Linked DNA regions of Astyanax mexicanus. The protein of the gene in region 3 interacts with the protein of the main gene of each other region in a biochemical or structural test. Links are inferred from orthologs where the notes say so. Each region holds a gene or a part of one and is shown on either strand. Other genes may lie near its edges. The genes, in order: supt6h, rasa1a, erbb2 and syk.

Region 1 (7,714 bases), on a different chromosome or scaffold from region 3:
CTAAAGACACAGTTTACAAATAAAATACCTAAAAACATACACAAATTGGGGCAGCAAGCCATTTATTTCCAATATGCCCTTTTTTGACAAATGCAAAACCCGATTGCTCACCATCTTCATCATCTTCCATAAATCTCTGAGTCTTTTTGGGTTTCAGATCCTTCTCCTCAAACTCCTCCTCAGACTCCTCAGCCTCGCTTTCAATGAAGTCAGACATGTCTGCAAGGGCTTTTGAAACAGATACAAATTGGCAGAGGTCATCCACTGGAAATTATTTTATCATCATCATTTTGTCAGCTCATTAAGAGTGGAAAATACAATACTACACATAACAGTGAACATTATTTAACCAGTCATGCAATGACCAATGCTTTAATAATTGTGACTCCAGATAATTGTGACACACAGTGTGAACTGCTATAGGTAAAGAAAGAAGTATATAAAAGGTTATAAAAATAACTATGCTTAATAAAAAAATTGTTTTCTTTAAAATGCCAATCTATTATTGTGTCTGTGGCATTTAACTATATGTTTTACTGCAATAATTTCTGGGACAATATATCATCCACAAAACTTGGGTCGTACTGATGATATCCTTAATATGCTTACCGACAATACAATAAGAAAAAAATCACAACAGCTAGAATAAAATACCTTCCAGCTAAAGGTGCACATTTTAACCCTGGAGAGACAAACTTCTAGCTAGCTAATCTAGCACTAGTAGAATTTAACTAATGCTCAAAGTAGTCTGTCCCCTGTAGATGATGTTCTTTGAATTAACCCATTATAGCATGAATTATACTTTCGGGAGAAAAACTGAGATTCCATGTGGATATAACAAACTAAATTTAAATGATCAGTTTGTTATCAAAGGTCAAAATCTAAAATTGTGTTTTAGAGCAAGGAAGCGTCTGAAACGTGAATGGCAGAAGTAGGTCTTCAGAATCAGAGATGAGAACCACTTCATCATGATTAATCTAACTGGAAGTCCAACTGCACAACAAACAGTTAACAGTAAGTTTACAACAAGAATGTAAGAAAATTGACAGACATATACTTCTTTTCATATTTATATTTTTGACCCACTTGCATGCATTGTGTATTGAAGGTAGATATGCCATGTAACATTATACAGACAGAAAGTTGTAGTAACCAAAAATGTTGTTTGTTGCCTAGGAGCAACACACTATGCCACAGGTCAAGACCATTTCTTTGTTAACCCATCTTTAATATTTAGCCAATACTTAGTCTACCTAGGTCTTACATAATGTCAATGTGGGACTGTTAATAGCTAACCTATCTAGCTAAGTTAACTAACTAGCTAACCGTGCAGCATTTATTAGGATCTACAACATTGGGATCTCCATAATACCAGTGCTAAATTAGTTAGATCATCTAGAAATCTGTCTCTCCAGGGTTACAATTATAGCGTAGCTAGTTATCTTATATAACCAGGTTAACCCCTACTGCTCCTTAACATGCCTTGCCCCATATACAGGCTACAGGTGTTGGTGATACACAACCCTTTTTCTGCAGTAAAATATCGTATTTACATTCTGAAAATTTGAGGGCATTGAAATCTCCTACAGGACAATTTGAGAAGCTGCCTGTTCACTTTCTACTCCACTTAATAATTCCAGATCAGTAACAGGAATCAACCCAAATTCTGCATGTTTGAAAATAGACATAAAAACTAGACAAACATAACGAAGACATGGACTGTTTGATTTGTAAGGAAAATATTAATTTTAAAATGAAGTTCAGGAAAGAGCCAATTTTATGATTTTATACTTTATATTTTGACACGAGATTTACCTAAATATTTTTTTAGATTTTCTATTACAATCACAATTCTGCTTTTTAATAACGTTCTTCATTAAACATGAAAGCTTTTTATGTAATACTTGAATAGAAATCCTCAAGATTTAGTGGTGTAACAACTGACAATAGACAAAAACCCTGGCCTGCTGAGAAGTTAAAGCCGAACCGGCGTTCTCTTTAAGTACTGATATTTATTTAGCACTATAGTATTTAGTTCCCAATATTAGCTAGCTAACATCCAATGCTGCAATAAGAGTCTTAACTAAATAGATAGCTAACCGTTAGATAGACCTGTAGCAGACGTTATATGGATTAAGAATAAATATATAGGACAAACAGCTCAAGCTTAAACATGAGATGAGGTAGTTAATTAGTTAAACAAGCTAAAACACTGCGTAGATGTAGTTAACCTATCTTTGATTAGCTTTGTGCTAGCATAGCGCTAGCGAGGTAAAGCCATCTAGCTTAGCTTAGCATAGCTAGCTAACATCCCCACATTGACATTATGTAGAAGCCAGCAACCCTAGCTCAACATTATAGCTAGCTAAACACGAAATATAAGCTAACAAATGAAAAACAACGCCAATTAAGCCTTTACCACAACTACCTGAATAAGCTATCTTAACTCTTAGCTATCTGCTATGAATGTAAAATACCGTTTTTGTGCGTTTGAGAGAGAGAGCTCTACTGAAAACAAGGCCTCCAGCGCTCAACGACAAGGCTAACGTTCACAAAGCTAGGCTAACGAGCTATTCAGCTTTTAAAAATTATACATTATAGATCTTAACTAACGAGTTATCCACCTCGCCTGACCCCTAAAAACTCAATACACGGCCACGCTTACCTCTTCCCGAGACGCCTCTCGATTAAACCCTGAGAAATCTCGTCAGCGATCCAGAACCGCTCCGTTCACAGCAGCTAACAACAAACCTGCTGCCCGAGCCCGGAGCGGGACTTTAATTCCGGTATGGAGTTAAAGCAACGTCCGGTCTGCACTGACAACTCCCAACCCAGCCGTGATTCAGAATAATTTACACCTAAAACAGAGGAAAAATAGAAATACACACCGACTCAGATGTATCTAATATAAAACGTGACTAAACGTGAGCGAAAAAATGGCGATCAGACCGTACTGTGTACCTGTTTTCCCTTCAGAAAAGTCCCCTCCGAGCCGCACGCAGGCGCTGCACTCCAGCCCGCCGCTACACTGCGCTCAGAGCATGCGCAGTACTCATAATGTTTATTATAGATGGATCATAGACTGTGTATATCTTTTTACAGTATCTGAGATAGATAGATAGATAGATAGATAGATAGATAGATAGATAGATAGATAGATAGATAGATATCAATGAATTTATCAAGAAAAGAGAGAAAGAAAGAAAGAAAGAAAGAAAAAAGAAAGAAAAAAAGGAAGAAGACAAATGTAGACTGTATTGACAGAGACAGACAGACAGACAGATCAACACAATTAACTATCTGACAAAATTATGACAGGAAGCCATTTGAAAAAATTAAGCAGAAACTGCCATGTAATAAAAACTATTAATTAAATGAATAAATAAACCAATAGGAATACAGTCATAGGAAATGTATTAACAGTTCAAAAAGATTTTTTTTCATAATCCTAACATCATAGTAAAACAAACAAACAAAAAAAAAACTCTAAACTGATGAAAACTCTTAAGATGATGTAAATGTTTTGCATACAATTATACTATTTTAACAATATGCATAATAGCATAATAAGCATTTTAGGCTCTCCATAAACCACACATGGAAGCTTTAATTAATTAATTAATTAAATTAAAAGTACTAAATAATACACATTAGGTAATAACTGAGAACACATAAAACATAAAATAACAGAATATATATAATAGAATAACATAAAACATCATAATCTTATGTTACACAGTATTTATCATATTTTGGCTTGCACTAGGGAAAGCATTCTTAAAAATTCCTTTAATGCAGAGTACAGTGATTTACATTTTTTGTTGTACATCTTTCCATTTAATAGGATTTTTATACTCTCTGTAATAAAATGTACAGTTGATTCTGTGTTACTTTTTTATGAAATTGAGAAATTTAGTTTAGAAACCGAACACCAAATATGAACATAGGAGAATATGTGTACCAGAAGAGCCCCTTCTCTAGAAGAGACTGCAGGACAGCAGGATTCGTTTAGGAAGAAGGACTCCGACCCACAGCGAGGCGCTGCGCTCCAGCAGAGCGGCCCTACGGCACTGTGGTGTTACGTAGCTCTTACCCTGCTGTGTTGGGTAAATCTGGCTGTATGAAAGCTACAATAATGGAGAACTGCGCTCTTTCTTTAGCCTCTCTCTGGGTTTCAGTCTTATTATCATCTATGTGTCATTTCTCTTTAGGCTCAGAAATACGCTTCGTCACCTGTGGCTCGGTTGTTAAGCTGCTCAACGTGAAGCACAACGTAAGACTACATTCACACGATGTTCGGTACGGCTCTGGTGAGTAAATCCCTTTCATTATTTTTTACACTTCTCATATCCATTATAAATAACATTGAAGACCGAGAAAAAGTATATTAATTCTCATTCAGTGTTTTTCCCTACATTGTAAAATAGTACTAAATTCACCCAGACTATAAAGGAACACATAAGGAATAATTTTAGCACATGTAAAAAAATATTAAACAAACCAAAATACTCTGTAAGGCAGCATGTATGTGCTCTTATCTGGGGTGCTGTTAATTTGTGGTTTCGGAGGCTGGTAACTCTAAAGAACTTATCCTGTACAACAGGAAACTCTTGCTCTTCCTTTCCTGGGGAAGTCCTGATGCGAGCCAGTTTCATCTTCCTGTTTTAGACTGACCTGTATTTCTTAAAGTATTTTTTCTTTGCTTAATTGAGTAGTTCTTGATATAATATGATATGGATTAAACATTACTCAAATAGAGCTCATCACTGTATACCAATTCTGCCTCTTTACAACTTTACAACGGATGCTCTCAAACACTTTAAGATGGGAAAGAAATTCAAGTAATTAACTCTTGACGAGTTAAGCACAGCTGAACATTCCAAGTGACTCTACCTCATAAAGCTGACTAAGAAAATCCAGCCAAGATGCGCAAAGCTGTCATCTAAGAATCTAAAATATAAAACATATTCTGGTTTGTTTAACACTTTTTTGTTTACTTATTGATAAGTGTGGATGACTTTATGATAAAACCACAAAATTTAAGACATGTCCAAACTCTTGACTGGTAATGTATTTCTTAATTTTGATTGATACAATATAATTCAAATATCAAGATAAACAAAAAGAAGCCAAAGAAAAACAACCAAGAACAACACCCACATTTAAATATCAATAGTGTGAATTGTGTAAAAGTCACTTTTTATTGTAATATATTGATCGTAAATGATTGGTTTAAGCATTTCTGTACCTGCTGATCTTCTGATCTTCAGCACTACATCCTCTAGACATTAAATGTTTTTATATATATATTAACTTTTTTGTATTTGCTACTCACAAATGTTGTTGTTATTATTATACCTCAGGTAGTGGTCAGCAGTCAGTGACTGGAGTGACCACAGTTGAAGACAGCAACAGCTACTGGAGTGTCCGTGGGACAAGTGGTGCAGTGTGTCACCGAGGGACCCCTGTAAAATGTGGCCAAAACATAAGGCTTACACATGTTAACACAGGACGAAATCTGCACAGTCACTACTTTGCATCTCCACTCTCTTCCAACCAGGTTTGCAAGCATTAACTTGTTAAGGATGCATTCCCTAATCTGAACCATGGGTAGTCTAACATGACTTTCTCATTTAGGAGGTCAGTGCCTTTGGAGAGGAAGGCGAGGGCGACAACCTTGATGAGTGGACTGTACTTTGTGGAGGATCTACGTGGCAAAGAGACGAGTCGGTGCGTTTCCGCCACACTGCCACAGACGCTCTGCTTTCAGTAACAGGTGAGCAGTATGGCAGACCCATCCACGGCCAGAGAGAAGTACATGCCATGACCAGCACCAGCCAACATAGCTACTGGAAGGCCATGGAGGGTATTTTCATGAAGCCCAGTGAGACAGGGCCCAGGGACTTCAGCAGTCTTCCACACACTGAGTTTTGAATGGTTTCTTCAACAATCAATTTGTTTGACAGCACAGTATTTTCTTCATTTGTAATGTTTTATTTCTGCTACAGAATACTTGTTCATTAAATTATACCTCATATCAAAACACTTGAAATACAAGAATTTCCTTGTGACAATTATTCTTAAAAATATATACATCAATATCACTACAGAATGCCTGGGTTACATTAACTCTGCAGTCTATGATTCGTTTTACCATGCCTCTGTTTCTGATTGCATCTACAAGGTGGACAGTGAGTGGACACAATTATCCGTGGAACTGGAAAATAAATAATGGTGTAGGAACAAGGAAAATATTATGCTTGAACTGTCTATTCCTGCTAAAAAAAACTTATTCTGCTAGGCTAACTGGTAAATTAGCTCTTTTCTTCTCTGGATGACCAGCTAGTCTTGAGCTGTTTTTTTTAGCAGTGATGATTGTATGAGAAAACTAGTGTCTGAAGCAACAAGCAACATGTTTTCACTGTGCTTGCAGTGGAACATCTGTTTGTAAAACATTATTCTGTGATAGTGTTCAAAGGAGGAGATGCATTAAGGTAACAGACAGTCCTGGCTGGACAAGGCAATATGTGGGAACTGCAAGTAATGTAGGATATTTTCTGTTATTAAGAATTTCACACAGATCATTTACAGGGTAAATACAGTGTTTGATGTTTAATTCATTGTGCTAATCAAGGCAACGAGAAAGCAGAAACATACATTTACAGATTTACAAATAGACTTAATAGAAATATGTAGTATAGACATGTAACATTTCCCATACATGTATCCCCATACAACAAAACTTACTACACAACTCCCAAAGAAAACCCTCAAACCCACAAAACATTTCAGTGCAAAAATGCAAATCAGTATGCATATTCATATCTATATATACTGTAGTAAATTCTTAAACAAAACAATTTTTTATTGAAAAATAAATCAGCATAATGCATGTTTTATAATCCATGATTAATCAATGTTCATACATTTGACCTAAGCTAATGAGTTGGAAAAAAACAAAACAAAATCCCAGTCTTTCCTTAACTGAAGGCAAAATGACCAACCTGCTGCTGCCTTCCTGCTGTCAACCTCCTACGCTAAGGGCTAAGAATTACAGTATTTGTTTTTATTTTAGATGTAAAAATGTATTTTATATCAAAATCTGAATGCTGACTATGTGGAAGGGACTAGCATTGGACACATTTGCTCATGTAAGTCTCCCTATCCCTTATTTAGACATGCTGCTTGCAACAACAGTTCATCGATAGCAACTGTATTTTAAATCAATGACAAATCTGAAGCTGTGCTACTGGTCAAAGGTTTAAAAATCCATGATTTAATGTGTTTTCTATAATTTTAATCATAGGCTTTTATCTTTTAATTTCGCATTATTTATTCATTGAGTTTTGTGCTGAAATGCTTAAAATGAGTTTGAAAGACATCCTCAGTTAATTTAAGTTCAGTAGTGCTCATCCAAGCACTCAGCAACAAGGTTGGTGTACCTGAACATTTGACCAGTAGTGTATATCTCGCATACAAAAAAAATGAAGAAAGCTCAGTATTTCTTTCTAAACATGTCTGTATACTTTGCTGTATCTTTCTATTGTTGGATTTTCAACCATTTAACATCAGTATTAAAATAAAATGATTTTTTTTTGCATTTGTGTTTTTGTGATGAATCAGTTACACTTCCAAATAAATCTATGTATTGCTATGCAATAGACAGAGGAAGACCCTTTCCATAAAATCCCTGCCTACTACATGGCCTAATTAA
Region 2 (7,667 bases), on a different chromosome or scaffold from region 3:
TAATCCATTCTGGTTCCTCCAACAACCCTGAGGGGCCAATCACTGACATTCATATGAATGAGTGGAACCCATGGACAAAATAGAAAATCTGATTGCTATACAAGCCCCACGTGAGTCTCTATTAGGGCTGGAGATATTTCGTTTTTTTTTTTGTTTGTTTGTTTGTTTTAGAATTATCGATATATATACATATTACCAGATATATGGCAACACAACACTGAAGTAGTGCCAAACTTCATTGGTAGAATTCCGAGGGCCCTGACATTTAAAACAAGGCACTGAGAATTTTGAATGTGTACCGGTAGTTTATTTAAAAAAAACAAAAAGACTGTTTATTACCACAGTACCTTGGGGAAGTTGAACTCCAGCTGTTGCTGAAAATATCTTTAAAGGTCACCTTCCGCGAAAATCCGATTTTTCTTGTTTTTTGTGGAATACAGTAGGTCTCTCCGAGTTGAATGTGTACACCTGCACATTAAACTGTTTTGCAGCCCCCATTGTCTGCAGGAGCTAAGCAAAGAAATCCCCCCTCCCCCCCTCCGAAAAACGGGTGAATTTTGAATTATCTTTCTGCCTACGTAGGCAGAAACTCACAGACCAGCCCACCTTGGCTCCAGAAACTCCCAGAGGCGGAGCTGAAGCGACGCAACATCACCGCTCATCAGTTAGGAGGTGGGAGGCAGTGAGCGGCAGAGCGGTGGAGGGGCGTCGCAGTGCTCCTAGCCAATCAGAGGAGAGATATTTGCATGCTGTTTGCATGTATGAATATTCATGAGCAAAGCTGGAATCCGGTCATTTTGGACACACCCCTAAAACAGTCCATTAAAAAAGAGCTATACAGAGACACCTGAGCACTTTTTTTTTTACAAAAACGGCTCACATGTCATTCATTCATACTAGAGACCACAACTAGACATTTTAAAATGAAAGAAAAAACGACGGAAGGTGACCTTTAAAATATTCATGCATTTTCACAGAAATAATGTTGTAATCTGTTCCCCTGTCCTACCTATTCGTTCAGGCTCATCAGTCGATTTTGTGACTTAATTACAAAATTATGATGATGCCGAAAAATACACCTGAAGGCACTCATGTATTACTGTGATTATACCACAGTTCCAGTATCGCTGTTTATTAAAAGATTTTGAGTTAAAGAGGACGGAAAATACGATTTGTTTGGTCATAAGCACTATGTGAGTTAAAACAGTTCCATTGCTGCTCTGTTTGTAGCTGCACTGTTTGACTGGTAAGTTCTGCAATCTGCATCTCTGCTAGGTTACCTGTATGCAGCCGAGTAAAACAGAGTTTCTGTTACAGTGCATTACCAGGTGATAATGGCAATCACAGAACGCCTCACAGCCAATCACACTGTAGGGTCGGAACTAACTGTAGTATAATAAAAAAAATAAACTTCTTGTAAACTTTTAAAGTTCTCAGTGGCTCGTTTTAAAGGTCAGTGCCCTCAAAATTCTATCAATGAAATGTGAAGCAACAAAGGTTTGTGCTCATTAACCTTTTTCCCCTACACACCAAGTCTTTCGCATAGTTTAGCACCACTTCAGAACTTTAGTAGCTTTTTCAGCAGCTTTATAAGAAGCCTGTGAGGAACTAGAAAGACTTGTGGAAAGCATTAGAAGAAGGGTGCCATCCTTACTGGTTAGTGGGTGGCGCGGAGAGGGAGAACACAGCCTCCTCTTCCTCGCATTCTGGTCCATCCTGCTGGTCACTCTCGTCCACGCTGCCGTGAGCCCCGTAGGCAAGAGGTGGAAGTGGCGGCGGGGGCAGCGGAGGGAAGGCGGACAGCCCGTCCGTGCCGGCCGAGGTGGGAGACATCCGGGTATCTGGTCCCTCTAAAGTGGGGGAATAGCAGCCGCCGCCTCCGCCGGCAGCAGCTGCAGTCCCTGAGCTCCCTGATCCATGAGCCCCGGGCTGGCCGCTACCGCCGCTGCCACTCCCCGCGGCAGACAGCTCTTCCCCCGCCACTGGGTAAATCATCAGGTCGGAGAGGTTGTCAAGCGGCGTGTGGGAAGGCTGCTGGCGGAATTCGCTCACCCGCAGCCGGCTGGTTTTGGGGTAAAAGGCCGTAAGCCCGCTCCCTGGCTGTACGGTGGGCCGGTCTTCGTTTCTGACCTCCGCGTCCATTGAAGGCAGGGAAAGCGGTGGAGAAGCGGGGCTGCGGGGCGTTTGCGGCTGTGCGGTTCTCTATCCTTAAACTCCTCCACGTTCAAATATTTCCTCAAGTGTGTGGAAAAAAAGACGTACAATAAACTTTCCTCAAGGGGGGAAACTCAGCTAAGCTCAACTTAGCTCAGCTCAGCTCAGCTGGACTAGCTAGCTAGCTCCCAGGCTAGCTGTGGCTGTCTCCTAGCTACGCTAGCTCGCTTAACTAGCTACGTTAGCTAGCTAGGGCTAACCTAGCTAGGTTAGCTAAGCTAGCTAGCTCGCTCGCTCCACACGATGCCTGCTTGCTTGCTAGCTAGCTAGCCAGGCTAGCTGACGGCCACTCGATGAGTTATGTCTTCATTGTTTCCTGAGTTTCGAGTTTAGCCAGAAAAAGACAGAAAAATTAAAAATTTCCACACAAAATATGAAGAATAAAGCGCCCAAACCTCACAAAAACACAAGACAAACAACCCGTCCTGCCTTCCAGTAGGTATTGGCAATCCACTTGACGGGAATAAGCGCTTTTATTGTCGGTCTGAAGCCAGTCCTCTTGTTTTTTAGCTAGTTAGGTTAACTCTCTGTGGCTGTTATTTTCTTTCCACTCCAGTCAGTCCTGAAAAAAAAAAAACACTCCAATCCGCCTCCTCCACCACGCCACACTACCCACCCCCGCGTCCTAGCGCCCAGAACCCGCCGCTTTCCTCATTTCCACCCCAAAAAACGGGCTGCAATGTTTTCCTCCTGCGCAAGTTCGCTTTTCTTTCGAGATTACTTGGACATTTTGCCACAGCTGCTCCCAGTCAGTCCCACTCCTTTCCCCCCCTAAGACCCGGCTAACAGAGCGCAGAGTCGTGAATTCAGTGAGTCAATGAACCGTTCTGTTCTTTTCAATCACTCTGAAATCTGCCGAACCGACTCTCCAACGTTAAACGTCTAACTCAATGTTTGCGCCCGTTCATAGTCCACACTCTTAACAGTTCAGCTAATAAACAGTTCAGTGCAGTTACTAACGCAAGCCCCTAAAAGACTACACTATGCTCATAGTTTGTGTTTTGTGAAAAGTGGTCTCACTACTTTCTTTCCTGTATTGTGTGATTCGATTCGTTGAACTAAATCAGAGCTAGACCGTTCAGATGAATCGGTTCGTTGCTGTTCACAACTGTTCACAAACTCGATGAGATCTGTTGCTCGTGCAGAAAAAAAAATCACAGCTATCTGAAAAGCTAAGGATTAACTTATACATATAGCAAGTATCTTGCAGATGTACCCATACAAAGTTTTGACTGTACAATTTTAGGATTGTATGTTCAATATTTAATAAAACAAACATTAATATAATATTTTAATACTATATTTGCCTACTAGTGTGAGCTAGCTAGCTAATGTTTGCTATGCAGCTCTGGAAAACATATTAGACCACTTCAGAATAATTTCAATAATAATAATAAAAATATATTTTGCTATTTATAGGTATGTGTTTAAGTACAAGGAACATTGTGGTTTTACTACTGTAAACTACTGACGGCATTTCTTCAAAGTTACAAATAAAAATGGTCTAAATAATGAATAGCCTTAAATAATGCAAAGAAAACACGTTAATTTAGAAACAACAATGCTAATGTTTTAAGAGTTCAGAAATCAATATTTGGTAGAATTACCATGATTTTTAATCACAGCTTTCATGCATCTTGGCATGTTCTCCTCCACCAGTCTAACACACTGCTTTTGGGTGACATTATTCCACTCCTGGCACAAAAATGCAAGCAGTTCATGAAAGCTGTGATAAAAAATCTGGGTTATTCTACCAATTATCGATTCTAAACTCTTCCTTGGATAAAACCTTTAGTATTGTTGTTTTTAAATGAACAGGAACTTGATTTCTTTGAGGTTTGAAAGCTCTGCATCTTTTTTTTTTTGTTTGTTAATTTAACCATTTCTCATTTTCTGCAAATAAATGCTCTAAATGACAATATTTTTATTTGAAAATTTGGAAAAATGTGGTCAGTAGTTTAGAATAAAATAAAACCACAATGTTCATTTAACTAAAACATATACCTATAAATAGTTAAACCAGAGAAACTGATTATTCTAAATAAATACAGTTTGAGCAGCTGAATGCCTTGGCCGACTGACTACAACAATTTGATGTAGTTAGAATTATAGGTTGCTCATAGGGGCCAATACAAATAATCTAGACACAATATAGACAATAGATCTTCTCCAGTAGCCAGGTTTGTTTTGCTTAAAAGAGACTGGGGATGTTGCTGGAAATTGGATGCAAATCTGATGTAACTATGGGAACCAGCCGGGCTGTGGATGCATCTGCGTTCATTGCCACTCTTGTCTCCATTCCAAACATCTGCTTCCGCTCAGTGGCATTTCCCATATGTACAGTTAGTAATTTGACTAAGCACTCTGCCATCTCCAAATGTGATTTCGTCTGTAGAATTTCTGAGCCAAGTCCCTTTTATCTGGGCTGTATAGGTAAAATTGACTTTGATATTGAACAGCACTGTACAGCATCTCATGTTCAGAATATTTAAAAAACAAGAGCTCCTGACACTGGCAGGGCGGTGGTGTGTTAGTGCATGTGTGGGTCTGGCATGAGTGGATCAGACACAGTTGTGCTGCTGGTGTTTTTAAACACCATGCCTTTGCAATGTGTGAAGCATGTGTTTTGCATTGTCTTGTTGAAAAGCGTGTTGAAAAAACATGTTGAAAAATGAAGAATGACCCACCACCCAGGTAGTACACCCAGATAATAAAGTATGTAAAGAAATATATATATATATATATATATATATATATATATATATATATATATATATATATATATATGCTCAATATATCTGAGAAATGGATAATGTGTTTTAATGTTTTTCTTAATTGCTGTACTCAATTAGCAAAAACTATAATTTTGACACTTCCTTAACCTTAAAACACACATATACATATACTAGAAGCCACAGGATAACCAGTAGCTTCAGTCTGATATACTATATGTGTTTGCTTCTTACTCCTTTGCCTTTCTTGCTTGCGGCCTCTTCGTAGTTCATGGAACATGTGCTCCCTTCACTTCCATCATTATCACTGTCTCTTTCTGCAATCTCTCAGCAGCTCATCTTCCATCATGCCCCTCCAGCCCTATAACACCCCTAACCGTTTTGCAGATTGCTCTTTTTATGCTTCTCTCTCACGTCTCTTAAGCAGACGCCAGCAGAGCCCGGTCCCTGACGTGGAGCCTGCTGACATATGCTGTCAGTCTTCATCAACTTCCTCCTCTTCCTCAGCCTCCCCCGCTTTCCGCGCTGTGGCAGGCTTCGGCTCTGACATGACGTGACCTCCTCCTGATTCCCCAGCCCCCCGTAGACACACAGACACACAAAACACACACACCGCACACATGGCCAACCAATGTGGCCAACAAACAGGAGGCAGGGAGAGGGGGAGGGGCAGGAGGGAGAGAGCGAGTGATGCTAAAGTGATGCTTTAACCAAAAATCTAATTTGGTGTCTGTTTTAAAGCTATGAGGCTAAGAGGCTAATGCAGCTCAGCGGTAATTAGAGTCGTGTCTGGTCAGCTTCATTTCATTTGTTAATATACTTCAATTCCTGCATTTCAGGCCTGTAACACATTCCAGAAACTGTTGGCACACATACTGCAGAGCCTAGAGGCACACTCCAATCTTTTTTCCTCAAGCAAATATGTTACTTTTGTATTGTGTGTATCTATTAATATGTTATACATAATTTTATTTAAATATGCCAATATTATGTTTACTATTTTTATGATCATTTTTGTATGAGCTTGATTTTTAGGTGCCCTACGCGCTGATTACTGATCATAATCATAATTTGATACAAAAAGAGGATCCCCAACATTGGCGTAGGAACTGGAACTGGGGCGGGTATGGGCGGGATGTGTCCCCCCCAATATCAGAAATAGGTAAATTTGCCCCCCCAAAAGTAATTTTTATTACAGTATATTGTTATTGTTGCGATTCATTGCTTTCATAACTGTAAAGCTGGTGTTACGCCAAATTCAGCACCCCTGCCAGGAAAAGCACCCCCTCTCAGGAGCACGCACCCACACCTTCTTGGCTTTACCTTGACAGTATACCCAAGATACTGTTGTAAGCTACACTGACTCGTAAGAAATAAGGAAAAAGAATCATGTCACCTGCAGCCTCTTCCAAGAGAGGGTGTTTCCATGGTGAGGGTGCAGATTTCGACACTACTATGGTGCCGAATTCAGCACCCCCGCCAGAAAAAGCACCCCCTCTCGGTAGAGGCTGCATAAGGCGGCGTAACACCAGCTTTACAGTGATGAAAGCAATGAATCGCAACAATAACAATATACTGTAATAAAAACGACTTTTGGGTAATGTCTTGTTCTGCTAACAGACTAGGAGGGTTTCGGTTATCTAACAACTCTATGAAATGTAAAGTTGCATCCTTTTTTTTATAAAAGGACCCTATTGTATCAAGTGGAGAAAATGGAAGTGTACAACAGAATTGATATGCCAATACATAATCCTCAAAGAAAGATTGGAACAGTTTTGCTGAATTCTCCCTCTACATTGCACAACGATTCAAGGAATTAGGAGGAATTTCAGTGCATAAATGGCGAGAGCACAAGCCTAAGCCGAACACCTGTCATATTCATTTCATCAGATGGTACTGAATCTAGAACCGTCATTTAACAACCGCTGATAGAATCATAGGAAAGGGATTGCTTTGGCAAGAACTGCAGTATAGTGGAGTCACATTCATAAAAGCAACTATTAAAGCAAATCTTTGCAGGAGTCTTTTGTTACCCATGTCCAAAAGTGGTGTTGATTTTCATGGGCTTGGGGGCATCTGGGATGGAGCATCACATAGAGTAAAAAGTATGGTATATTGTGGTCAGATGGTCAGAATTAGTGCTCCAGACTAAAGAAAAACACAGGATCATCTGGACATTTTTTTTATCATCAAATCCAAAAGCGAGGGTCACAGAAATTTACACTGAGATCTTATTACACAATATGCTGCCTTCATAAGACTTTCTTCATAAGAGATCTTTTCTAATGAGTTTTTCACATTTTTGTTCAACAAGACAATGCAAAACCACATGCTGCACACAGATTACAAGGGAATTGGCTGCAGAAAACAAGGGTACACTTACAGGTCAACTTCTGACAACTACTGTTGCACACCTGAAAAATCTAGGATTCATACTGTTTGCAAATCAAGCTTATTCTAAATGTTGCACTTTAACAGCCTTTGCAATAACTGCATGTGGAAAGCTTTGGATTGCTGTGTGAGACTGTGTGAAGAGAAAAACTGCACACAAATTGTTCCTCACTCGTTCTTATCCAAAGAGCAATAATTCTTTCTTTGTGCTGTAGGTAGGAGTGGGCCGTGTTCTCCCGGGCGTCATTGGAACACGCTGCTGGGTGCCGGGCTGCCTGATGGGGGTATGATTTGTGGGGAAGCGGGACGGTCCTTTGTCCTGCCATACAG
Region 3 (7,164 bases):
CAGGTTTGTTATGGACACATGTGCGAAGTTAAACTACATTTGAAGTTTGTAAAGTTTTGTTTGTGTGTTTTTAGATGTTGGAAATGAGCCTAGAACTGGCAGGTGCAATGCCGTCAACACCATTCCGACCACTGAGGACCGTCATGAAGTGACCTCAGTTCTAACACCTGATGATTCAGCTGCCTTGAGATTTTTTTTTTCCATCTAGCTTCTTTTAAACAGAGTTTCGGTCTATAAAAATGGGTAGTGCTGGTGTAGTTTTGGCCAGGTGAGATTACTTTTTTAAAGCTTTAATGCATCAGCATGAATGATCACAGAATATTAATACCAGGCCATGTTGGCTCACCTACTTCTAGCAAAAGTTGGTGTTAACAACTGCATTTTTAATATTGTAATATTTTCCAATAAAGTGCCGCCCTAAATTTGAATGTCCTTTAACCTCTAAACAGGCTTGAGTTTAGGTTTGGTTTAGCCTACAGATGAAGACTTTAAAATCAGAACCTATAGCTTCTTTGCACATCAAACTAAAATCGAAGGCCTAGAATCTCAGTAAAGCTGTCTTTTAGTTGAAGAACTTTCTGTTTGACTGAATTCATAGGATAACAGATTATACATGGTGCAGTTAAAAATGCTCGGTTTTACTCAATTTTTTACTCATGTTAAGTATTACTGTCGTAGTGTATTTGTATTTATAGAGTATCTAAATAATATTTTGTGAATTTATATAAAAGTCTATTGATATATTTTACTTTAACTAGGGACAGATTAAATGTTGTGTTTCACATAAATGTTCAGTGTTTAATAAATATATAAATTAAATGATAGTTTTGTATAGAGTGTATTTTTTGTCTGAAAGTGAAGGTTTTTCCCATCAGAAAGGCTAATATCATTTAGTGTTGAGATGTAAGCACTTGAGTGTACACTGAAGCCTGGATTTAGTTTTGTTTTACAATTTTCATCTTTTTATTCAGAAAGTCTAAATAACCTTAACATTAGTACTGTTCTGCAAACCTAACTAAACCCTAAAAGGCCTGAGTTTGTTTTTTGTCCACATTTTAGAGTCTTTTTTAAAGTGTTTATAGTTAAAAAGTCTTAAATATCCACATCAGTTGTTGCTGTCCACTGTGTACCTGCCTAAAACTAAAGTTTTCAAGTTTTAAAGTGTACTCTACTCTTTCTTTTTCTAGTGAGAAATTCTTAGATACCCACACCAAAACAGCTCACTGCTCCTGACCAAAGCCTTAGGCTTAGGTTTTGGTCTACAAGGCAGGTTTTATGATTTGAGTTTGTTGATTGCTCTCTGCTGTCAGTCACAGTAAAGTGGTAAAGCCAGTTTGTGGTGGAAACACTTGAGTAAATCTCTGTAGGCAGCCTGAAATTCTATAAAAACCTGCCACAGCCCTTTTATATCTACAATATGGACAATTGTTTTAGACTAAAATCACAACAGGGATATGAGTCCTAAGTAGGGCTGGGAGGTTAATCAAATTAATTAATGGAATTACTGTTTTATGTGGTTTTCAAAATGGGGAAATAGAGACTGTATATATGTACATATAGAGGTTGCCAGAGTGGATCTCAATAGATAGAAAACTATAAAGAACTCTATTATGTGTGGTTTTCAGTGATTTTCATATTTTATACTTTCCCTGAACTAAAGTACAAGGAGGCTATGTTTGAACTCTGAAGGCCCGGATTTAGTTTTGGTCTACAAATTTGGTCTTTTTTGGTCAAACAGTCTAAATAAACTGACCATAAGTACTGTTTTGAAAACTAAAAAGGCCTGGTTTTAGGTGTAGATTTGAGAGCCTTTATATTGTTCCTAGTCAGAAAGTCTAAATATCCACATCAGCTGTTGTTGTCAAGGAGGTTATGTTTGCACTGTGTTTGAAATAAAAGCTGCATGTGAAGTTAAAGGGGTCTGCTTACTAAAACTAAAACATTTCTTGAATTAAATGTAAAGGAAACAGTAGCTTGTGCATCACTTAAAATGGTGCAAATGAAGATGTTATGTAAAAACTAAATGTATAATCATTATCGTTAATCATTTATATCTAAAGTATATCAAAATTATTTTTCTACAATATCGCCCAGTCATTAGTCCTAACTCTATAATACTAGTATAGCTCAAGAAATTCAAATTCAAGATTTCTGTATTACAGTTTGTACTACTTCTAATTCTGATATCAGTTCATTTTTAATAGTAATAACATAATCAAACCTGCAGACTAGATATTAGCCTGGATCCAGGGTCACACAGTGTTTGATTAATTTTACTGTTTTAACGTTGATATTTTGTTTGATATTTTATTTTATTGACATGGAATTTCATATTTTTCCCCACTCTCTCTTATCTCAGAATAATTTTACATTTACTAGCAAAAAAATGTAATTGTAGCTAAGTAATTATAGATAGGACAATGTGAAATAAAAATAAATGCTAAGTCAAAACATATGGCTAGTCAAAATTACACAGTTTGATATACAGTAGATGTAGTAAGTTAGAGCTTTTACCATGGAAAAATTGTGAGTAGAAGTAAGTTTTTACCATTAAAAAGTTAAGCTAGGACTTTAAGTTATTGTTAAAGTAATTTTAGGGTAAAACATTTCGCTCTATGGGTTATAAACACGCTGCAGTGGCTGTGAGCGGCTGTTCTCCGGTGAAGGCCGGGGTTTGGGGGAGTGTTTGGTTGAGGAATGCGGCGGTTTGACCCACCTTCTCTCCCCGCAGATCTCGCCACGGCCCCGGCCAGCAGCGCCAGCACGAGCCCTAAACTTCTCACCGCCTCCATCGCTCTCCGCCGGACTTTAGTCCATAATCACCCGCTCAATAACTCCTCAACGCTCCCCGGAGGCTGGGAATAATCCTGCGGAGAGTGTGTATTCCCGTGCTGCGGTTCCCTCAGCGCGTTTCAGTCTGTAAAACTTCCTGCGGGCAGCGCTCCGAGTACAGCTCCGAGTTCAGCTCCGCTCCGCCAGTTCAGGAACGAGCTTCCCGCAGGCAGGCGCGCTCCCGGGCACGGGAGGGGAAGGGCGGGGCTCCACTGGGTCTCCGACAGGCCACGCCCACCGCACCCCGATTGGCTAAGACTTCGCACCCGCCGGAGTTCATAGCTTGTCCCGTAACTGAAGAATATGAACTTCTATCCAATCCCAGCGCAGGACTCAAACTGAGAAATCCAATCACACCGCTGCAGGTGGGACACTGCTGGCCAAATAAACTAAACGAGGCTGGGTATCAGCCAATTACAGAGCGGGAGGCAGGCTGTGACTCCAGCAGCTGCCTCTGGTAATGCAGTGTGGTGTGTTGTTTATCTATTGTGATTGTGCACTGGGTTAATTGAGTGGGGAATTAAAGCTGGACTGGTTGTTTTACTCACGGTGAGCTGCACAGATTGTTTTCAGACACTGGAGAAGCCTGGCTCATAACCAGACCGGTATAAAACACTATAGAGCAAGACCTGAGTAAAAGTACTCTATCAAAAAAGTGACTTAAGTAGAAGTTGTAGTGTTCTTTAAGCTACACACTTAAGTGGAAGAACTAAAGTATTCAAGTATTTGTATTTAAGTATTGCAAGTATTGTAGTTTATTGTAAAATGTAGTACTGGAGTTCTGAAAGTAAAAGGCAGAACGGGAGCAGCGAGGTCTTCCTATAAAATTTCTAATTTTTAGACTATTTTCTCCCAATTTACATGGCCTATTACTCAACCCACTCATTAGGACCCCCCCTTATCACTAGTGATGCCCCAACACCAGGAGGGTGAGGACTAGTACATGCCTCCTCCGATATATGTGATGTCAGCCACTGTCTTTTTTCCAACTGCCACCTCTTTTCCAATCACAGCACGCTCGAAGGAAAACGCATCAACTCAGGTTTAATACATCAGCTCACAGACGCCTTGTGCTGATCGACATCACCCGGGGAGAGTGTGCCATCTACCCACCCAGAGAGAGCAAGGCCAATTGTGCTCTCTCAGGTCTTCGGCAGCTGATGGCAAGCTACATGAACAGGATTCAAACGGGAAATCTCCTGATAATAGTGGCAGGCGCTAGCCGGCTGAACCACTCAGAGCCCTTATAAGATAAGTTTGATCTCTTGATTCACTCAAGAATGAGCAGCATCATCTACTGCTTTGTGATAATGTGAAATGGGGAATTTTTATAATTGAATCAAGTAATGAATTAGCACATAAAATAATATATTGTAGTAAAAGTATTAAACTTGTGGAAAATACATAGTGAAGTTAAGGTAGACACAGATACAGTATTTTAGTACTTAAGTACAGTAGTGAAGTAAAAATAATACTCCAGTAGATAAAGATACAGCATTTTAGTACTTAAGAACAGTAGTACCTCTACTTCGTTACTATACCTTTCTGGTTTTGACATAATAGCCCAGACCATTTCTGAACATTGCTACTGATTGATGTAGCAATATTCAGAATGAATTCAGATGAATTTAGTGAGCAGCTCATTTATGTTTGTTTCTTATTGTGGGTACAAGACTGTAAATATTTAAGGTAAATACTTTAAGGTTACATAAACGTAAACATAAATGACACAACAACAGTTATATTTGGTAACGCTTTATAATACAGCCCGCGTTTTAGAGGGTAAGTACTGTGTACTTACAGAGTAAGACCAGTGAAACACTGTACACTACATAATACAGCCCACTCCCTGTTGTTTCTAACTACTTACTGAGGAAGTACTGTGTACTTATAGAGTAAAAACAGTAAAAATCAGGTGAGGTGTGGGTTTATTAACCAATAATATAAAACCTTGTAGTTTTTGTGTATTAATTAATATATTTTCTTTAAAATCTCTGCATTCCTGATTTTGTTATTGAGAATATATATATATATATATATATATATATATATATATATATATATATATATATATATATATATATATATATATATATTATTGTATTTTAGTCTTGAATTTTAAGCTGTACGTTTTCTTCCTGCTCCACTCTGACTGTTTTTAGCTACTCCACCCATGACAGTTTTAAAAAATCTTCTTTTTTCAAACTCATAAAATTAATAGAATAATAATTCCCTGGAGGGTGACTGAAATCAAGCCTTCATAACTGCCATGAACCAAGGGCAAAATAATATATATGTGTATATATATATATATATATATATATATATATATATATATATATATATATATATATATATATATATATATATATATATATATATATTATTTCATGAAAATTGCAACATAAGTTTAGGGAAATTGCAGGTTCCCCTGTGCTTTACTTGTACTTATATTTAAGATTTAAGTACGAGTAGGACCCAATAAGTATTTTGTATTTACTGATTTATAGTGAACAATTACACCATACCTGTTGGGAAAGTAAAAGGTAAGTTTCAGAAACTTACCTAGTTGTTACACTCTTGTTGCTTGTTTTTCTTTATTTATATGTACAGTTAAAGTACCTGTAGGACCCGGTAAGTATTTTGGATGGACCGGGTCATCCAGAGAAGTTACTAGTTACTAGTTTCTAGGGTATTAACAAATGCAACATGCGTAAAATAACATAGAGCACCCCCATTCAAAACTTAAAGTGGTTGCCCCTGGCAGCCATTACCTCAGCCAGGCATTTGTTGTGGATCAGACCTGCATATTGTTCAGGAGGAATTTTAGCCCTTTCTTCCTGGCAGAACAGCTTTTGCTCTGTCATATTTCTTGGATGCCTCAATCCAGTCAATCCAGCATCTGAGATCTGGGCTCTGACTTGGCCACTCTCATAAGCCATTCTGTTGTGGATCTGCTCCGCTGCTTTGATGTTTTGGGTCAGTGTCCTGTTGCATCACCCAACCTCAAAAGAGTTTCAACTGATGTAAGGACACTCTCACATCACCATACTTATGTATGGTTGGGATGATGTTTTAATGGTGATGTGCAGTGACTTTTGTTATGCCAGATGCAGTGCAGCAACAGTTCAATCTTTGTCCAAAAAACATTTTGCTAGTACTGTTGTGTAGTGTCAATGTACTATTTCCCAAACTTCAGACATGCAGCAATTAGGGGTGCGCCATATCGTATTGTGTGCAATAATATTGCCAAACAAATGTATGTTGTTATTGCACACATTCCCTAAAATATCATATATATTATTTTAGGGCCATATGGGCCATCAGAGTAAAACTCATTTGCTGCTCGTAGCAAAAAGAAAATTCACACTGTTCTCGTTTCCAATTTTATATATACAGCTCTAGAATATATGAAAATGAAGATGGATGATTACAAGCCATTAGACCAAGCTAAACTGCTTTAATTGTTGCACCAGGAGTGGCATAAAGTTATCCAAAAGCAGTGTGTAAGACTGGTGGAGGAGAGCATACCAAGATGCATGAAAACTGTAATTAAAAACCAGGGTTATTCCCCCAAATATTGATTTCTGAACTTTTAAAACTTTATGAATATGAACTTGTTTTATTTAAATTACTTGAGTTTTGAAAGCTCCATATCTTTTTTGTTATTTCAGCCATTTCTCATCTCATTTCACATTGTAGATTCTCACTGAAGGCATCAAAACTATGAATGAACACATGTGGAGTTTTATGTACTTATCAAAAAAATGACCTGGCCTCCACAGTCACCGGACCAGAACCCAAACCGGATTGTTTGGGGTGAGCTGGACCACAGAGTGAAGGCTAAGGGGCAACAAAACACCTCTGGGAACTCCTTCAAGTCTGTTGGAAAACCATTTCAGGTGACCACCTCTTGAAGCTCTTTGAAAGAATGCCAAGAGTGTGCAAAGCAGTAATCAGAGCAAAGCGTAGCTATTTTGAATAAACTAGGGTATAATGTTTTTTTTTTGTTATTTCACCTTTTTTGTTAAGTACAGTACATAAAACTCCACATGTGTTGATTCATAGTTTTGATGCCTTCAGTGAGAAGCTACAATGTAAATAGTCATGAAAATAAAGAAAACGCATTGAAAAAGAGAAGGTGTTTCCATACATTTGGCCTGTTCTGTACATATATATATATATATATTTCCTCCTTCAGACCTGGATATATGGAGTGCACTATTAGTACCATTAGGGGTGTGCCATACCATATGCAATAATATCACAAAATAAAATGTAATATTCTTTTTGTTGCAGTAATGTCTCCTTCGTGGTGTCCTGCATTAGATA
Region 4 (7,660 bases), on a different chromosome or scaffold from region 3:
GGGGAATAATGTGGAGAGGGTTCAATTACACAGAGATAATCACTCATATTCTGTATCTCTGTTTCTTTTGTTCTTCTTTTATTCTATCTCTCTGTGCCGTCACAGACCACAAAGCATGTCTGTTCCATTCCCCAGATCAGCAGCAGAACTGGAAAAAGGAGACAGACCTGTTCAGGGACAGAACGTATTAAAGAAAAAAAAGGGTCTCTGAGTTTATGACCTGACTAAATGAGAAAGTGCAGAATGGAAAAAGAGAAATAGTGGAGGCCAGAGGGTGGTGGAGGAGGTGATGTGGGACGTTTCAGAGCGTTCAGAATCCAGAAGCTCTCCACGCATCACTTCAAGAACACAGTGTACTACAAGGATGGTTTAAAGGTATAGAGAGTTAAATGGATTATTAGGGAGTTTATAACAGCAATAAATTGTTCAGTGTGTGACCTCAAGATGCCCGTTAACGTTTTTAACACAGCGTGGACTCAAGCTGCATTGACTCTACAGGTTTGTGTAAAAAAAGGTCAGTTACTAGGACATCGCCTGTTCGAATCCTGTTTATGTAGCTTGCTATCGGCTGCCGGAGACCTAAGATTTTGATAACGGCAACATACATCATAATTCTAGACCACTTGGGTTGGCCCATTCATAGTTCGTCCTAAAATGTTCATCGAAGGTAAAAAGTAAAGGTAAAAATTGGTGGTGTGATGAGGTTTTGATAAGACAGCAGTGACACGTATATTTGTGAAGCTCTCTGTATAATGTAATGTCTCTATCACTCTCTGAATAAGGCAATCTAACAAAGTCATTTTAGGAAAGTGCTCAGCGCTGAGTGTCCCTGTAGAGAATCTTCTGGCCTCATGTAAAATTCATGCATTCAAATTGAGGCAGTAATATAAAATGCAATAACTTTCCATCCCTTCACAAAAATATGTAAAAATATTTGTCTGAGTCCAGAATAACCTCAGAGCGAAGAGCAATCTCAGAGACGCGTCCAATTTTAGCCAAACCCCAAAATATTCATTAAACCTTGATGACTGTCATTTTGGTGTTGGGTTTATTCATTGTCTGCATGCCTCATCAAACACTACAAACTACAATATCTCTCTCTTTCTCTCTCTCTCTCTCTCTCTCTCTCTCTCTCTCGCTCTCTCTCTCTCTCTCTCTATCTATCTCTTGCTAGCAGAGCAGAGCAGGTATTGTCTGTAGTGGTGGGTTGTTCTCAGCACTGCAGATTGGACACTGGTATGATGGTGGTTTTAGTAGTGTGTGTTGTGCTGGTACAAGTGTTCAGACACAGCAATGCTGCTGGAGTTTTTAAACACCATTTGTTTTTAAATGCCATGCACAATTTCAGAAATGCTATGTTCAATACATCTGGCCTTCAGAACACGACCTTGCTCAACTCAAATTCCATTCTATCTATCTATCTATCTATCTATCTATCTATCTATCTATCTATCTATCTATCTATCTATCTATCTATCTATCTATCTATCTGTCTGTTTGTCTGTCTGTCTGTCTGTCTGTCTGACTACACTGCAAAAAACTAAATCTTAGCAAGTGAAAATTTCTAAATTTAAGGCAATAAAACTTATTTTCTTCTCTGATAAGACTTTTTGTCTTACTAAGTGTTAGATTATTTTGCTTATTTTATATTTATCTATCTATCTATCATATAATAGACATGATTGTGTCATTCCTTACATTGTCAGTCTGCACACATTAAAGACTCCAACTCCCAGCATGCACTTACACCTTCCGGACTCTGCTGATCATATGATGCTACAGTGTTCTAACTCGCCAAGCTTCTGATTACACACATCTGGACCTGTTAATATAATTACCTTTATGTTTTTGTTCCTTGTTGCCTGGTATTGCATTTATTTCCTAGCTCTTTTACCTTGCATTTCATTTGTTTCATTGTATGACCCATTTTGCCTGCTCTCTCCCTGGTATATTGTTTACTATTGCTGCCACTTTGTTACTGTCCCTGCCATTCTAGTCTTTGAGATTAGCTTGTGTATCTGTTTCTTGATACTGTGTAAAAAATTACCCTGCTATCCTTGTGCAAGTCAATTTTCCCATTCCACTGGAAAATTAATCCAGCATAAAGACATACTTTGTAGTAAAAAAAAGGTAACTTACTCTTCTGCCCTACAACTCTGTGACCAAGCAGTCAACCATTAAAAAAATTAAATATACTGTAACTGACTACCCCAATACATACTCAAATATGTGTGTTCTCTATCCAAATAAATTGTTAATTTTATAAAACACAATAAAATTATGTAACACAGATTTTACTCCAAATTCCTCTTTCAGTTGCTTATTCAACTATTTTGTGTAAATGTTACACAATTAACAACCCTATGAATATATTTTTTTACAGTGTAGCTTTTTGGCCAAATGCTATCCCTAATGCTATCGCTATAACAAGTAGGCAACATTAAGAAATTGTCCAGAGAGAATAAGTGGGCATCTCCCACGCCAGCCATCATTCTGCCCTGCTTTCTGGCCAGCCAATCACAGCAGCTGATAACAACCTCCCACAGACCGAGAAAAATGGAGACGGACAGAGAGGAGAGTGAAAGAGACAGAGAGAGACAGAGAGAGAGACAGAGTTTGTCCCAGGAGACTGAGCTTCCTCTCTATGCATAGTGTATTACAACAGTATTAGCATTAGCAAACACAGCAGTCCTACACTACAGGGTGGGCTGTGCACCTCCAGCAACCCAGCGTGATGCACCTCCCTCCTTAGATCATTCCTACTGGAGCCCAGCAGCAAACTCAACCCCCCTCCGTACCCTCCCAGCCAGCCCATGCACAAACAAACACACACACACTTGCAGATCCGAACTTCCGAACATCCGAAATCCAGACACAACATCTATAACAGCTAAAAGATCCGGTACAGTAAGAGAAGCAGCAGCCGAGCACAAGCACGCTGTAGGCTGTAGGCCCGAGGCACCTTCTTGTTCCCCTACCTGCGTGATCTCGGTCGCACGTGAGCTCTTGGCCTACATCCAGACACATCCACGCGCAGCTCTGTGAACATCACAGGCTCCTCTTCACACACTGCGTGAAGCTCAGCTCGCCTCACGCTCTCTGGGGCTATAATTGGATCGTGGCTCAGTCGTGCAGAGGAACCCACCGTCTTGAAAGGAGGCTCTTTTTTCTTTTATTATTTGAAAACATGCATTCTCAGGGTATGTTCCAGTTTGGAGGCACGCCCTCGCCGGCGGTGGCCCGCTTTCACGTTTCACGATCCAAGATCGGTGTGTTTTTTCAGTTTTTTTGGTGCTTGGCTGCGGGTGATAAAAAGGTGTTGAGCCATCTGCTCTGGAGGAGGCGCACTCTGCAAAAATAACTCAAAAAAAAATGACTTGATGATTTAGTTTCCCTAAAGAAAATTTAAAAACTTTATATTGACAGACTACTATTTACTGCCACATTCCATCTATCTAGGAACTACAGGGGTTGAACAATGAAACTGAAACACCTGTCACACCTTTTAGTGTGGGAGGTTTCAGGGCTAAATTAGACCAGCCTGGTGGCCAATCTTCATTAATTGCACATTACTGCACCAGTAAGAGCAGAGTGTGAAGGTTCAATTAGCAGGGTAAGAGCACAGTTTTGCTCAAAATATTGCAATGCACACAACATTATGGGTGGCATACTAGACTTCAAAAGAGAACAAATTGTTGGTGCACGTCTTGCTGGAGCATCTGTGACCATGACAGCAAGTCTTTGTGATGTATCAAGAGCCACGGTATCCAGGGTAATGTCAGCATACCACCAAGAAGGACCAACCACATCCAACAGGATTAACTGTGGACGCAAGAGGAAGCTGTCTGAAAGGGATGTTTGAGTGCTAACTCGGATTGTATCCAAAAAACATTAAAATAAAAACACGGCTGCCCAAATCACGGCAGAATTCAATTTCCACCAGAACTGTCCGTCGGGACAATAAATGATTGTGGTCTAAAACCAGGTGTTTCAGTTTCATTGTCCAACCTGTACACCATGTTCCAAATTATTATGCAAATTGGATTTAAGTGTGACAAAGATTTTTTTTTTGTTTCTCAATTAAACCCATGGATGGTATTGTGTCTCACGGCTCTTTGGATCACTGAAATCAATCTCAGACACCTGTGATAATTAGATAATTAGTTAGCCAGGTGAGCCCAATTTAAGGAACACTACTTAAGAAGGATTCCACATTATTATTTTTATTAAGCAGGCCACAGGTTTTAAGCAACATGGGAAAGATAAGGGATCTCTCTGCTGCCAAAAAGCATCAAATAGTGCAATGCCTTGGACAAGGTATGAAAACATTAGTTTTTCACGTAAACTTAAGCGTGATTATCGTACTTTGAAAAGATTTGTGGCTGATTCAGAGCACAGACGGGTTCGTGCAGATAAAGGCAAAATGAGGAAGGTTTCTGCCAGACAAGTTCATTGGATTAAGAGAGAAGCTGCTGATGCCTCTGGAGTCCCACGAACCTCAAGGTGTAGGATCCTTCAAAGGCTTGCTGTGGTGCATAAACCTAGAAGCTAGAAACATATTAGAAACTAAAAAACGCTGCCCTGATCTGTGGGATATGCATATAGGGCATATGGTCCTGCTCTAACCTGCAACCCATCTCAGCCACCCACACTTGAGAAGATGGGATTAATTGCTCATGGTACAGTATGAGCAGTCAATTACAAATACCTACCGAAGGCTGGAATGGAAATAACCTTTTTATACAAACTTGGTATAGCATCATCATTGGATTCTTTTTTAGTTGATCCAAGTTTCACTCTATAGAAGTCCGAGCACCAGCTTAGAGAGTCTGTCAATGTCTGTGTAGAAATGCACTGTGGAGTTCAAAGTGGAATGAATAGAACTCGAGAGAGAGTTATCCAGTTAGTGTTATGAAAAGGCTTTTTTGCTGCTTCACCTAGTGGGCATGTTAGTTTTACACATTCTACAAGCATTCTTTCTTTTTAAAAGATTGATGAAGCAGAAGCAGTGTACCAAATGAAGCACAACATTGGCTCAAATGAGTGTATGCATCCATGAGCATGCTTGGTAGTTTAATTTAGTGCCCTATTTTAGCGATCTAAAGGTGAGCCGTCAACTGTGCACCATGCAGCTTGATTAAGGACGTGTCAGTGTTTCTTTGCTATCATAACGTTGGGAAAAGTACTCCTTGCACGGCTCGAAACACTCAAAAGACATGTATTAATTATCTCAATTAATCGTGGGTGTGTTTTGGGTGTAATGTGGAACAAACCAATCAGTGTCTCACTTACTATTTTCTTTAAGAGCCAGGTATGCTCTGACTTTGGTGGATTGCTATTTTAAAGGTGGAGCTACCTTGACGTGTCCAGCATGTCTAAGCAGAGGAAACTGATTTACTCGCTCATGCTCTAAAGGTGCGTGAGTAGGTCATTAATGGGAACAGCAATATATATTTTTTGGATTCTGTTTATTGTTGGTGTAAAAGTTGGGTTTGTGCACTGATGCATGTCCTTGTGTGTGTGTGTGTGTGTGTGTAATGTGCAGGGGTGTACAAGCATTGTGCAAGCACAGTGCACCTGTTGCCAAGATAACAATGAAAGTCGTACTGTTTACGTTTATCTGACATTTTTTTCTGTCACTGGGGTACCTGTGTTTTCTATTGCCAAGATAGCAATACGCAAGACATTTAACTAAACACACCTTATTTTGGGACCACCACACCTATCTGCATAGATATATATTTACTAGCTCCATTGCTATTTATACTGTTGGCAGGGTGTAAGATAGCAAGAAGCAGTAGGTTGAAAGATAGGGCCCAAAGAAGCCTCCCATAGAGCTGCTGTATCTCTTAACCTAAAAACCTCAGAATTGCCTAATTAGAGGAATTCTGGCCAATCACATATTTTTTTATAAACCAGACAATACTAATACATAGTCAATCAATTTACATTTAATTTTAAATTAAAATTATCATTTAGAAAATTGCTAATAATTCTCCACACAAGGCTTTTGGTGCTTCACATCAATGTCACTGCGTGTCTCTGTTAGCTTAATTAGTTCTGAATTAAACTACGCTTCAATAATAACACAAAATAAGGTTGGAATGATCGGTTCATTTATTTTACAATGGGTCAGAGCCACCTCGGTTCCAATTCACTCTGAAGACAAGATTTGGTCAGGCTGTTATATAACACAGAATGATTCAGATTCACTGAGGCTTAGAAATAATTTTAAAGGTGGTCTGAAGTGGGTCTTTTCAAGCTGTGCTTTTTTCCGTAATTTCATTTGCACTGCAGGTCACAAGAACTCAATAAGCTCCTTCTGCAATTGCTAGAACATTCAGATCCAGTCTGCAGCACAGTTCAGGGAAAAAATATGAGTATGCTCTGAACCTCTTAACACCTCGGAAGATCCTAAAGTAGCTAATTAATTGAAAGGATGAATCACTGACAGGATTGAATGACTTAAGGTGTTGTAAACTCTACAGTGACGTTCATCTCAACAGCAGTCTCACCTTAGAATCGACAGCATGGAACAATTTCAAACATGGGAAAGTGAATCACTACATGGACATGGCTTCCGAAAATAGCAAACTAATTAATAAACTAGTTAAAGGTCTCCTTCTGCTAAAATCCACCTTTTTCTTGTTCTTTGTGAAATACAAAAGGTCTCTCTGAGTTGTATATGAATGCTGCGCTTGAAACTGTTCTTGTGAACACCACCAGCGAAGTACAATTGAGACAGATAGGTGTATGTTTAAAACAGTTCTGCTTAAAATAAACTAGTTAAAATAAAATCCACCCCAGGGGTTTGTTCCAACTGACTGGGTGGCTCTGCTGCGGCTCAGCCAACCCTGGGGTGGATTTTTACTTTTTGAACTTGGACTACCCACCTCTGTGTAAATAACTATGTTTACATAGGATCTCCGGTGGATTTGCCGTTTTACAGAGACTCTAAGACTAGGTCAGTGGCTGAACTGCACTTAGCAGGGCATTACACATGTTGTAAAGTAACATATGACGTTGCAAAGACTGTTATTAGTGTAAAAATGTCTTTATTTTAAAACGTTTTAACTGTTGTCCGTCTCACTGCCTCGCAGTGCTGTTACCCAATCAGAGGCGATATGTTAGTATGAATTTGAATGAATATTCATGAGCAAGAGCCACAATCCTGTTAAGTGTTATACCGGATCACTGGAGCACTTTTTTTCACAAAAAAACAGCTTACATTGCTTTCATTTACATAAGAGACGACAACTAGACATTTTAAAATTAAGGACAAAACGATGGAATGAGACCTTTAAAGCAGAAGTTCTTAAGAATCTTAAGATTTCTTTTCTTTTACACTGAAAGCAGAAGAATTCTTAAGCTATGATGAGACAGAATATTCTAATTAATGATATCAGTGTCCTAAAACAAACATCCCTCCAATTTCTATATAATATATTTCATCTAAAAACACAGTGGTCTAGTAGGTTTAGGTTTATTGGATGAAATTGCTCTCTACTGCTCCCTAAAACTTATCTACTGTTGCTTGAACTATTGTTCCTCAAATCATTCTCCAGCAGTGCTTGCAGTATAGCGTGATGTAGGTCTGTCATTAAATAATATGTAACACCATTTCACACTAATATTAGGTATATCATTATGATGCTACAGG

What was found.
Region 1: the proteins of erbb2 (region 3) and supt6h form a complex in vitro, tested with the Homo sapiens proteins (2 studies listed by BioGRID and IntAct, with this or other methods). The link is inferred for Astyanax mexicanus from reciprocal best matches to the Homo sapiens genes ERBB2 and SUPT6H.
Region 2: the proteins of erbb2 (region 3) and rasa1a form a complex in vitro, tested with the Homo sapiens proteins (2 studies listed by BioGRID and IntAct, with this or other methods). The link is inferred for Astyanax mexicanus from reciprocal best matches to the Homo sapiens genes ERBB2 and RASA1.
Region 4: the proteins of erbb2 (region 3) and syk form a complex in vitro, tested with the Homo sapiens proteins (2 studies listed by BioGRID and IntAct, with this or other methods). The link is inferred for Astyanax mexicanus from reciprocal best matches to the Homo sapiens genes ERBB2 and SYK.

The regions. Positions count from the first base shown.
Region 1 is NC_064424.1:10,126,740-10,134,453, reverse strand, and holds the start of supt6h (transcription elongation factor SPT6), read right to left. Parts: upstream 3,005-7,714; 5' UTR 2,962-3,004; exon of another isoform or gene 2,859-2,961; 5' UTR 2,666-2,858; intron 229-2,665; 5' UTR 218-228; coding exon 112-217; intron 1-111. Other genes in the region: sdf2 (stromal cell-derived factor 2), read left to right, coding at 4,121-4,310, 5,364-5,560, 5,638-5,934.
Region 2 is NC_064429.1:21,770,461-21,778,127, reverse strand, and holds the start of rasa1a (ras GTPase-activating protein 1), read right to left. Parts: upstream 3,005-7,667; 5' UTR 2,143-3,004; coding exon 1,655-2,142; intron 1-1,654. UniProt on the Homo sapiens protein: Inhibitory regulator of the Ras-cyclic AMP pathway. Stimulates the GTPase of normal but not oncogenic Ras p21; this stimulation may be further increased in the presence of NCK1.
Region 3 is NC_064422.1:4,071,117-4,078,280, reverse strand, and holds the start of erbb2 (receptor tyrosine-protein kinase erbB-2), read right to left. Parts: upstream 3,019-7,164; 5' UTR 2,793-3,018; coding exon 2,717-2,792; intron 1-2,716. UniProt on the Homo sapiens protein: Protein tyrosine kinase that is part of several cell surface receptor complexes, but that apparently needs a coreceptor for ligand binding. Essential component of a neuregulin-receptor complex, although neuregulins do not interact with it alone.
Region 4 is NC_064427.1:26,190,727-26,198,386, reverse strand, and holds the start of syk (tyrosine-protein kinase SYK), read right to left. Parts: upstream 3,003-7,660; 5' UTR 2,979-3,002; intron 1-2,978. UniProt on the Homo sapiens protein: Non-receptor tyrosine kinase which mediates signal transduction downstream of a variety of transmembrane receptors including classical immunoreceptors like the B-cell receptor (BCR).